Linked DNA regions of Pelodiscus sinensis. The protein of the gene in region 2 purifies or fractionates together with the protein of the main gene of each other region. This does not show direct contact. Links are inferred from orthologs where the notes say so. Each region holds a gene or a part of one and is shown on either strand. Other genes may lie near its edges.

The links.
Region 1: the proteins of SSRP1 (region 2) and SRPK1 fractionate together in Homo sapiens (co-fractionation; 3 studies listed by BioGRID and IntAct, with this or other methods). This does not show direct contact. The link is inferred for Pelodiscus sinensis from reciprocal best matches to the Homo sapiens genes SSRP1 and SRPK1.
Region 3: the proteins of SSRP1 (region 2) and CHD1 purify together in Homo sapiens (affinity purification with mass spectrometry; 3 studies listed by BioGRID and IntAct, with this or other methods). This does not show direct contact. The link is inferred for Pelodiscus sinensis from reciprocal best matches to the Homo sapiens genes SSRP1 and CHD1.

What each region holds. Positions count from the first base shown.
Region 1 is NC_134737.1:12,827,858-12,831,601, forward strand, and holds the start of SRPK1 (SRSF protein kinase 1), read right to left. Parts: upstream 2,281-3,744; 5' UTR 2,229-2,280; coding exon 1,895-2,228; intron 1,657-1,894; coding exon 1,596-1,656; intron 1-1,595. UniProt on the Homo sapiens protein: Serine/arginine-rich protein-specific kinase which specifically phosphorylates its substrates at serine residues located in regions rich in arginine/serine dipeptides, known as RS domains and is involved in the phosphorylation of SR splicing factors and the regulation of splicing.
Region 2 is NC_134714.1:128,209,709-128,213,452, reverse strand, and holds the start of SSRP1 (FACT complex subunit SSRP1), read left to right. Parts: upstream 1-940; 5' UTR 941-1,085; intron 1,086-1,616; 5' UTR 1,617-1,772; coding exon 1,773-1,826; intron 1,827-3,744. UniProt on the Homo sapiens protein: Component of the FACT complex, a general chromatin factor that acts to reorganize nucleosomes. The FACT complex is involved in multiple processes that require DNA as a template such as mRNA elongation, DNA replication and DNA repair.
Region 3 is NC_134716.1:69,217,803-69,221,546, reverse strand, and holds the start of CHD1 (chromodomain-helicase-DNA-binding protein 1), read right to left. Parts: upstream 2,467-3,744; 5' UTR 2,448-2,466; intron 1-2,447. UniProt on the Homo sapiens protein: ATP-dependent chromatin-remodeling factor which functions as substrate recognition component of the transcription regulatory histone acetylation (HAT) complex SAGA. Regulates polymerase II transcription.

The DNA.
Region 1 (3,744 bases), on a different chromosome or scaffold from region 2:
GCATATGAATCATTAAGAGCTGTGGTATCCAACACACTAGCTACTAACCACATGTGACTATTTAGCTAATTGAGTGTCACTAGTTCGCTATAGCAGTAGCCACTATAATAGCTACTGCTTCAGAACTAGCTGGACACCACAGATTTAGAGAGTCTTTACACCCATCCAAAAGTTTATCATGAAGGCAATTTATTTATGAAATTCCTGACATGGGTACAGAAACCACAGAAAGATGTCAAAGCTACAGAGTAAGGTAAACACACTGTAACGTAATCATAAAAATAAAAGGTAAACTACAGAAAGAGATGGTGAAAGGGAAAACTTAAGTAATCAAACTGTTTAGAAGAACCTTCTGTTCCTTGACTCAGTGAAAGAGGTTCCATGGCAACCTTACCACCTCCAAATACACAAGTCATGTGACTGACTGAGGGATGAAGGTGCTGGTGCTAGTGCTAAGGAGAGGCTGTTACACCTGGAAGAAACTGGGTAGTAGGGTGGCAAAGACTCCTACCATCAAATGTCGTAAGATGCAAGGTGCTCATTACATACTAATGATGAAGTTCTATTCCTACGATGGAATCCATTTTCTGTAAGAGGCCCACCACATCTCCCTCTGATAGCCAGAGAGAGAATCAGAGCCTAGCTATGTAAGAGACCTTCAAAGAAGTCCACTTGGGGAGACAGAGTGACTAGAGCTCGGTGTGGGCCAGGAACACCTGCAAAGGGTGCAAACATAGACCAATTCAAAGGCCTCATCTGTACCAGAAAAGTACTCTAATAGCTGAAAACACATTGAAAAAACCTATCTGTCATCTTAAGTGCATCTACATTAGGGGCTTCAGAAAAAACAACAACTAATGGTCTGGTATCACTTTATAGACTAACAAAACATGTAGGTGGTACCATGAGCTTTCATGGGTACAGCCCACTTCTTGAGAGAATCGGAGTTATGAGTTGGGGATATAAAAACTTGAAATAAATAGGAGGGGAAAGGGAGGGGGGAGAGAAAGAACAAGGGAGGGGGGTGGGAGACAGAGCATCAAGTATCTGGAGAATGGGTACTTAAACCTAAGCAAATAAAAATCAAAGTCAACAGATAGTTTCCTAAGACAAGAACAGTGATTGAAATGTAGCCATGTTAGTCTGGTGTAGCTGAAACAAAACACAGGACTAAGCTCATCATCTAATAAACCATCTCGTTAGTCTTTAAAGGGCTACATAGTCCTGTCTTTTGTTTTTTCTAAGACAGGAAGACTGCTTTAACCACATCAGTTTTAAAAATGCACTTGAGTTAAACTGAGGCGCAGCCTAGCGATGCCTAGGAAAGGGATCGAGGCAGAAAGATCAAGGGGTGTTATTTCAACCACCTTATGCAGGGGTCAGGGAAGGCAGCGGCGAGGTTAGCAGATGAAGCTGCGAGGATGCTCCAGAGCCATAGCCCGAGGGCATGTCACGCACCCACAGTCCCAAGGGGAGCCCATCACCGCATGGATCCATCCAGGCCTCGCCTAAACTCAGCGGTCCAGGCTGGGGGGGCGCCCCCCGCGCCCCACATCGACCCCCCCCCCCGCGACTGTCCAAGGGGTCTGACTCACTTTTTCTGGGCCTTGTCCTTCTTGGCTTTGGTCCGCTTCTTGCGGGCCTGCAAGGCCAGAACTGGGGAGAGAAACGCAGGCGGATGAGCGGGGGCGGAAGGGGGGGCGCGCGGCCGGCGGGGGGGGCAGGCGACACCCCCTCAGGGGCAAGGCTGGGGGGGGGGGGGCGCCAGGCAGGCCAGGGGGCGGAGGGCGCTGCTCTGAGGGAGATAGGGGCGGTCGCGCGCGCATGTATCGGCGGGAGGGGGGAGGGAGGAGGAGGCGGCCCGCCGGGCCGGGAGAGAGCGCCCGCCACTCACCTTTCCGCTCCATGGCGGCGAGAGCCGGTAGCCCCCACGGCTCTCCGCGCGTGCGCTCTACACCATCCGCCTGCTTTTGCGCCTGCGCAGAGCTAGGCCGCGCCGGGCGAAGCGTGCGCACTTTGGGCACCTTCGCGCGCCGCTGCGCGCGCCACCAGATCTCCGCCTCCTCCTCGCTCCCGCTGCTGCCGCTCGAGCTCGAGCTCGTCAGCAAGGCCACGCCCCCTGGCTCTGCCGAGCGCGTCCGGCAACGCCCCCTCCGGCGGAGAAGGAGGAGCGGGGACCGCCGGGTAGGCTCCTCCCCTGAGCCCGGCCCCGCCTCCAACCGCTCCATGGCCCTGAGCGCACGCGCAACCTCGCGGTGGGGAGGAGTCCGGCCGACTGAGGGGGGAGTGAAGGGGGAGGGTAGACGGCGCATGCGTGCGCCTGTCTGTGAGCGAAGCGCTGAGTGTGACGCAAAGCCGGGAGTGGACCGCCCCCTGCCTCCCCGCCGCGCAACTTGAACTGCAGGCACGGGATGGGACAGCCCCCCGCCCACAATGCACTGCGTGCACCCCACTGACTCCTGCGTCCGCCCCAGAGCGCACATAGCCCACAAGGCAATGCACACACCCCAGCGAGTACAATGCACCCTGCACCCCCTAGCCCTGAAGGCACTGTGCACACCCCAAACCCTGCACCCCATAGCCCTCAATGCACTGTGCACACCCCAAACCCTGCACCCCATAGCCCTCAATGCACTGTGCACACCCCAAACCCTGCACCCCCTAGCCCTGAAGGCACCGTGCACACCCCAAACCCTGCACCCCCAGCCCTCAAGGCACCGTGCACACCCCAAACCCTGCACCCCCTAACCCTCAAGGCACCGTGCACACCCCAAACCCTGCACCCCCTAACCCTCAAGGCACCGTGCACACCCCAAACCCTGCACCCCCTAACCCTCAAGGCACCGTGCACACCCCAAACCCTGCACCCCCTAGCCCTCAAGGCACCGTGCACACCCCAAACCCTGCACCCCCTAGCCCTCAAGGCACCGTGCACACCCCAAACCCTGCACCCCCTAACCCTCAAGGCACTGTGCACACCCCAAACCCTGCACCCCCTAACCCTCAAGGCACCGTGCACACCCCAAACCCTGCACCCCCAGCCCTCAAGGCACTGTGCACACCCCAAACCCTGCACCCCCTAGCCCTCAAGGCACCGTGCACACCCCAAACCCTGCACCCCCAGCCCTCAAGGCACTGTGCACACCCCAAACCCTGCACCCCCAGCCCACAAGGCACTGTGCACACCCCAAACCCTGCACCCCCTAACCCTCAAGGCACTGTGCACACCCCAAACCCTGCACCCCCTAACCCTCAAGGCACTGTGCACACCCCAAACCCTGCACCCCCTAGCCCTCAAGGCACTGTGCACACCCCAAACCCTGCACCCCCAGCCCACAAGGCACTGTGCACACCCCAAACCCTGCACCCCCTAACCCTCAAGGCACTGTGCACACCCCAAACCCTGCACACCCTAGACCTCAAGGCTAGTTCGAACCCTCGTGGAATGTGGAGTACAGCTAGTTCGGATTAGGAAGCCTAATTCGAACTAGCTACTCCGTGCCGCGTGTAGCCGCGCGGCACAGGGTTCGAACTAGCTGGCATTTAAAAATGGCGCCGACCGGCTTCATGCAAATGAAGCCTGGGAAATTCAAATCCCGGGCTTCATTTGCAATTGCGGATGACTACATTACCCCCGCTAGTTCGAACTAGCGGGGTAGTGTAGACATACCCTTCCAGGGGCAAATGAAATATGGAGGGGGAAAGACAGCTTGGTGGGAGAGCTGCTAGTGGATTAGATTGTTG
Region 2 (3,744 bases):
CCCAGGCCCTTAGTCTGCCAAGAAGTGTACCTGAATAATTTATGCCAGTAGGGCTGGTGTCTTCAGTGTTTGACACCTCCATTGTGTTAAAGAAAGGACCCCACACACTCACTCCACACAGCCTTAAGGGGGGTTGTCCATGCAGTCCATTGGGGAAGGGCGTTGCACAGAAATGCAAACCTCACCAGGGCCCCTGCAGCCAGTTCGGCCCAGAGCTCTGCTCCTACAGGGTATGGGGAGCTGCAATGCAAGAAGCCGCGGGGCTGCGCAAACACACTGCAAGGGGGACAGGTGTCTGGCGTAACCTCCCCTTGCAGGACAGCCTCCCTTGGGGAGTGCATGGCGCCAGGGAGCCAGGCCATTGCAGAGGGGGAGCTAGGAGCGGCGTGGGGGGGTGGAAACAGAGCGCAGCCTTCTTGCAGGGTGAAACCCCCCTGGTGCTTTCAGTCAAGCAGCAGCCGCTCACGCTGTGAGCTCCCGGGGCCCCTGGTGTGTCGGCCGCCAGCGACAGGAGGACAGGGACTGCAGCGCCCCAGAAGAGCCACCTGTCGCCGACGGGGCAGAGGGGGACACGGTGGGAAGCCGTGAGCTTGGGGATCACCCCTGGCGGTGCAGGGCTGCGGAGCGTCCACACAGGTCGAATCCGGGCGCAGGGGACCCTGAGAATCAGGGGGGGTCAGGGTGGAGAGGGGGGAGGGGCCTGGGGGTACAGGGCAGGGATGGGGGGTGTCTAGGAGGGTGGGGGCATTTCTGGGAGAGAGGAGTGTGGGGCAAGGAGGGAGGAAGGGGGGGCTGTGGGGCGGTGCCTAGGAAGATGGGGTGGGTGGAGGAGGGGTGCAGAGCAGAGGGGGGAGGGGCAGGGTGGCTCTTCCAAGCACGCGGCTCGCGCAGCCAGAGCAGCTGCCTGGGAGGAAGGGAGGAGCGAGGCGGGATCCACTCTAGCCGGAGCCCCGCTGGGACTCTATGGTGAGAGCCGCGCGCACGCGCGCCCGGCCCTTCATGGGCGGCGTCTCTATGGCAGCGCGGGCCGGAAGGCGGAAGCGGGGGGGGGGCTCCGGCTTCCGGTGGGGGAGGCTCCGCGTGAGGTTCGCGCTGCGCAGGCGGGAAATTGCCCCCCGGAGAAGGGGGGGGCTTGTGGGGGGTCGGTGTCTGGGGTATGATGGGGGGGGCTGAGGTGTCGGGGGGGGGTGGATTTGGCGGCGGGGGGGGGGGGTCGTGCCGGGGGATGAGGCGGGGGGGGGGGCGGATCTCTCGTGGGAGGGGCAGTCCCTGGGCCAGGGGCTGCGGTGAAGTGTGTGTGTGTGTGGGGGGGGGGTAGATTTGGCGGGGTCTGTGGCTGGGGGGGGGAGGTTTGGCGGGGGGGGGGTCTGTTCCAGGGGTGGGGACCAGGATGGGGAGGCTCCTGTGTGCCCCTCCCCCCCCCCCGGGGTTCAGCCTCCTGCCCCTGGGGAGCCTTGTAAAGCTCAGCAGCAGCCCAAGCCCTGCTGGGCGACGCTCACTGTCTCTGCCCCCGTCGCTACTCCCCATGGGTTCAGTCACTCGGAGCTTCTGAGCCAGCTCCTTGCTGGGCTGCTTTACCCTGCTCGATGGAGTCATCTCTCTCCTCTCCTCCCCAGGTTCATCGCTGGTCTGACACTCACCCCAGCCGGGCATGCGGGACTCCGGAGGGGACTGAAGAGCTTCTTCGTCTCTGGAGAGCTCCCTGACTGAACCTAGTCTCCAGAGCTCTCCCACAGACCCTACCAGAGCGGGCGAGGTGGGGAGGGGCCGCCATGGCAGACACACTGGAGTTCAATGAAATATATCAGGAGGTGAAGGGGTCCATGGTGAGAGATGCATGAAACCTAGAAAACCGTGTCTTTGTGGGGATGGGTAACAAAGGGTCTGGGGAAGTGCCATTATTGTAGCTGGTGCAGTGGTGTGTCTGCTGTTGAGCCTGTGGTTCTGAACTGTGGTTCTGATTTCATTATGGCTCTTAAGCTAAGCCCAGTCACAGCTGGCATGATGCCTGAAAGGAAAGCCGAGAAGCTATGGGTGCCTTGAGGGGGGGCAGGAAGGAGGAGTGTGCTTTTTTTCCCTTTAGCCACTAGGGTGTAATAGTGTAGTCAATTAACTGACTAAGTAATAAGCAAAAGCTTATCGGTTAATGCTATAGACTACACGCATTTCTCCCCCCCTATCTAGCCAGTACATTTTTTAGCCTGATTCTGTCCTGACTCGTGCTGGGTCTGGGACCTACCTCTGCTGCGGCTCTGCATTTAAAGTATATTAAGAGCCAGGTGAGCAGGCAGCCCGGCTCAGTTCTGGCTCGCACCAAGTCCAGGACCTCAGCTGCCACCGGACAGGGATTGCTGCCACCCTGAGTTGCTGCCTCTATATCCAAAGCTGCAGCGCAGGGTGACAAGCAGCTAGTCCCCGAGGGGAGCTGATTTTTAAACTGTGTCCCCTCGCAGTCTAGTTCCTGCCTGGTACCCCGTGCTGCTGCCTCTGATACAGAAGCAGCAGCACGGAGTGGCCGGGGGCTACTTGGGAGTGGGACTGGAATGCACTGGCTGCCAGCCCCACCTGGGGACTAGAGAATAGTTGAGTAACCAATAAGAATTCGTGAGGTTAATCGACAATTCAGTTAACCGATATTTAACATCCCTACTGGTCACTATTCAGCTCCCAGATCAAGCAACATGCTAGGGGGTTCTGGGCTGTATCATTTTTATGAGACAAACCATAGCCAAGCCCTGGTAGGTATTAAAGATCCAGCGATCCTTTCTTGAGTGTAGTGGACTTGGCACCAGTTCCTGGCTGCATTCCTGCTCTGGTAGGTAATGCTCAGCTGAGCACAGTTCAAAGCCAGTTGTCTGCCCCATGAAGTTCTCCTTGCAGTTTGTTCTAAATTGTTGTGTGGTGTCACTTAAGGCTGTAAAGGGTTAACCAGTTACCTGGTAAATGTGCGCCTTACCGGCATGCTTATCAGGGTAGCCAGTTAACTGGTGGAGTGTGGCGGGCCCGGCCTGGCTGAAGCAGCCCCCCACTGTGGGATCATAGTTCACCAGTTACACATCGCGTTTGACTGGTTAACTTTTTAACCAGGAATTTGCATCCCTAGTGTCACCAAGTGCTGTGGGAAGTGAGGATTGGCTTAGCCTGAATGGCTGGAACCTGGGAGCCTTCCAGAAAATGCAGTGCAAGATCTTGATTCCCAGGCACCAGCATTTGCCAATTTCCAGCAGAGGTGCACGGTGCCCTGAGGTTTATAAATGAGCCTGTTTCCCGGCCAAGAAATCCAAATCTTTTGCTCTTGATAGTGTTGGTTATAACGGGGTTTGTGTCTACATCTATGAAGTGTCCTTGATTAAGCTATTGCTCGTAAGTGGCCAGTAAGTCTCCAAGAGAAAGCAAACGCAGGCTGTAGGGAGCTGATGTATGTTGCAGGGCTCGTGGTATGGACCTGTGAAGCATGAGGGGTAGCATGGTGAGCTTGGAGTGAAGCCTGTATGAGGGAGAGAGAGGGTGTTTGCAGTGGGTGTTAGTAGGATATGGTGTGTGTGCACCCCTGTGTGGGAGAGAAGAGATGATGGAATCTCCGTTTTATGTGCACGGGATCGGTGTGAAGTAACCTTTTCCCTGAAGGAGGAAGGGTGTTGCTGGCTGATGTCAGGCTCCCGATGTATCTTTAGCACCATTCCTGCATGTCACCGCGGTTCTTTTCCCCGGCATGTGCATTTTGCTCTTGGAGCGGTGTCCCTC
Region 3 (3,744 bases), on a different chromosome or scaffold from region 2:
CGCTGGGCGGCATAGCAACTAAGGGTGAGAGGCAGAAAGCAGGCAGGGTGAAGCCAAGGGTCATTCACTGTTGGGCCTGCTACCGGCATCAGTCAGCAGTGGAAACTTATATCTGCAGTGTCCCAGATGTAAGTAGTTGCAATCTTCTCTAACTTTGGTCAGATCTTTCTTGGGGCCACCGTGAACCTGGCTTATTTTAAAAATCTTGGCTCGATTTGGCTTCTACCACGAACCTTAAGAACAAGTTTAAAATGGTTCCTATCCGTTTGTTTCCTTCCAGGTTTGTAAGTAACCTCACACTAAAACAGGAAGGTGATCGTTCCCACGCCATTTCTGGGTTTATATGCACTAAGAAAGACAGTGGCATGCTCTTCCTGAGACATGGAAGCCTACACTACTGGAAGATTTTTTGCTCTCACTCCAGCTGTTCTCATCTTCATGGGACTGATGAAGTGAGACTATTATTGGACCATTTATTTAATGTTATTAAACATGGGGGGGGAGGGAGAAATCACAGGGATTAAATATTTGTCAATAACTATTACATTCTCAGTATTGTTGATTTAAAGTCCAGGTATTTCCAGATAATATACTACATGCATAATGTTTCTGTTGTGTTGTACATATTATATATATTCCATTCAACAGCCATTTCTTTGCCAAAAAAAACAAAACTCTGATTCCAGAATTCCATCCAGTATATCCTGCTTTGTACACTGCAAGGCTAGATTCATTATATGTTAAGGCCAGCAGGAACTATTGTGATTGTAAAATCTGACTTCCTGAATAACACAGGTCACAGAAATCCCTCAAAATAATGACTCGATCTTTTAAAAAAAATAATTTAAAATTTATCACTGGTGGAGAACCTAAGTAGAGTTGCCTGTTAGTTGTGTGCTTTTGCGACTGCTCAGGAGTGATTTAAATGCCATCCAGCTGATTAACAGCCCATAGCTAGGTTTTATTTCTACTGGGGGTGTGAATTCACACATGCCTTGGTTCACATAAAAGAATATATTCTGCACTTGGATGGAAAAGATTAGAGGAAACATTGACCACAACCCTTGGTAAACTTCCAGTTGTGAAGTATTCAAACTGTTCAAAATTCATGCCTTACTTCCAGTTTGAATTCATCTAGCTTCACTGCCAACCACTAGATATTGTTATACCTTTCCCTGCTACCTTGAAGAGCTCATATATTAAATGTATCCTTCATGTAGATATGTATAGACTATAAGCAAATCACTTCATTACTTTCTCTTTTAGATAAATAGAGTGTGTTCCTTGAGTCTGTCGCTCTAAGGCAGCCATGGCCAACTAGCAGCTCGCGAAATGCATTCGGCTCCCCCCCATATAAGTGCAGCTCGCGAAGCTGCCCCTGCACTCCTGAAAACGGTTCCTGTCTCCCGGCTCCCTGTGCTCACTGGGGCAGAAGAGCCATCCAATATGACCATTCAAAATGGCATCTTCAAGATGGCAGTGTCCAGTGGGAGCCTGATGTGGCCAGAAAGCCTTTAACCACGTTTCTTAAAGGGATAGTCCTTTTTTTTCGCTTGACCAAATGCGGCTGGGGGCTTCTTCTTTTTTTCATTGCTCGACAGCTTCCCCGGCTCTTTGTGCTATATGCACAACTATTTTGGCTCTTTGCCTATAATGGGTTGACCACTCCTGCTCTAAGGCTTTGTTTCTAATCCTTTAATCATTCTCATGGCTCTTTTATGAATTGTCTCAAATATATCAATATCCTTCTTGGTAAATCTAGCAGCAGTTGCAACATTGCTAACTACCCTCTCTACTCCTACTCAAGATTCCTCTGTTCAGCATCCCAAAATTGTATTAGCTTGTTTTTAGTCACAGCATCACATTGGAAGTTCATATTCAGCTGATTATCCATTAGAATCCCCCAATCTTTTTTTGAGTCCCCGCAACTTGTGATGGTATACAAGAATACCTAATGTGTATACACGGCCCTTGTCTCTATTTATCTGCCATTTTGTACCCTCAGAAATTATATATATTCTGTCATACTCCAACTTCTTGCTGTTATTTACCAGATAGATTTTGCTTACACGGCTAGCACCATGGGACAATTGTGGTGACAGCTTTTAAAATCTTCATCACAAATGCTTACAGACAAGGTTTCATTTATAGTGTTACCAGGTATTTACTAACTAGAGGTATGAGTTTCAAAGCCATTCAAGGACTTGTAAGAATGTATTGTTTGCTTATTGAAACAAAGATAGCAAAGGGGAAGTATCATAAATAGGTACTAAAAAGAGTTGCTGGATTATTATAATAACTAGAATGAGGAAGTTAGACAATATTTCCCTGCTTGTTGTGCTATATTAATCTGGAGAGCAGAAGCCTAGCACAGCCTAAGACAACAGTAATTAATGCCAAAAGAACATTTCAGAGTGAATATTTGGAGTCAGATATTTGTTACATACCTGTTGGCTGCTAACTCTCTTGAAGGGTAGGCAAGGGGCGATGGCAAGAAAGAAAAGAGTAGATGGTAAGTGAAGAGAAGGTGGGTGATAGCTGGCTGGGTGGGAAGGGCAGAGTAGGCTGCTGGTGACAGCAGGGGAGGGGAGAGAAGTGGAGGGTATGCAGGGGGGCAACAGCAGGGAAGGATGAGTGACAGCTACCTGGGCAGAAGGAGTGGGTGGTAGGTAATGGTAGGTAATGGTAGGTAATGGTAGGTAATGGCAGGAAAGGGGAGGATGGGTGACAGCTGACTGGGCAGGAGAGGTAGGATAGTTGTTAGGCCATGACAGGGAAAAATAGGGTTAGTGCAGGCAATGGCAGGGGAGGGGAGAGGAAGCTGCAGGAGATAGCAAGGGAAAAGAGGTAGGTAACTATCAGCTAGGTGGGTGGAAGCTAGAAAGCCTTGCTCTGGCTGCTGCACTGCAAGGACTGGACAACTAAACTGTTCACCATCCGCTGAGGTGACAGTTGGGATCCCCAACAGCCCCGCTTTAGAACTCTAGAGCTGATCCTGGAACTGGGAGAGCCTGATTGGCTGTAGCTTGTAATGAAGCTGCCATCTCAGCCAAAGAGGTTTCAAAGTACAGATGGAGACTGGAGAAGAGGCAGCTACTCTTCCACTTCTCACAACCTTAGAGAAACTGCAAAACCCTGTTTTTTTACCTTGCCTTTTCCTTACTGCAGGAGTTCTCAGACTTCCTTGTGCATTTCTGACAACAAAAATTGCTACCTGCCCCCAGCAGGGGGGATTGAACCCTGAGCTAATCCAAGTCCCCCATCCTGGCTAGGAGGATCAAAGCCAAAGCCCCACTGTCTTAGGTGGAGGGAGGTGAGGGGACCAAGATGAATCCCAAGCCCAACAGCCCTGGATGGGGCGGGAGGTTAAAGACAAAGCCCAAGAGCTTCAGCCCCAGGTGGGAAACCTGAAACCCTGAGCTTCACCACCCAGGGCTGAAATCCTCATGCTTTGGCCCCAGGCTATGGGGTTTGGGTCCCAGGAAATTAAAATGGGGTCTTCAACCACTTTAAGAATCACTGCATTACAGTGATACCACACTAGCAGCATTTAAAAACAAATTAAGCTCGGTCCTTGAAGTGAGGAGAGATGGGATTTGTTGAAATACGTTAAAGTGTCCAGAAAAAAAATCACAATGATTCAAAGCCTTGAAAACCTTTCTTAAATAGATTGACCTTCTTGTCAAAGAAAAGCAAGAAAGAATTTAGTGATGTGATGGATCACTGGAAGTCTTTAAACCAAAA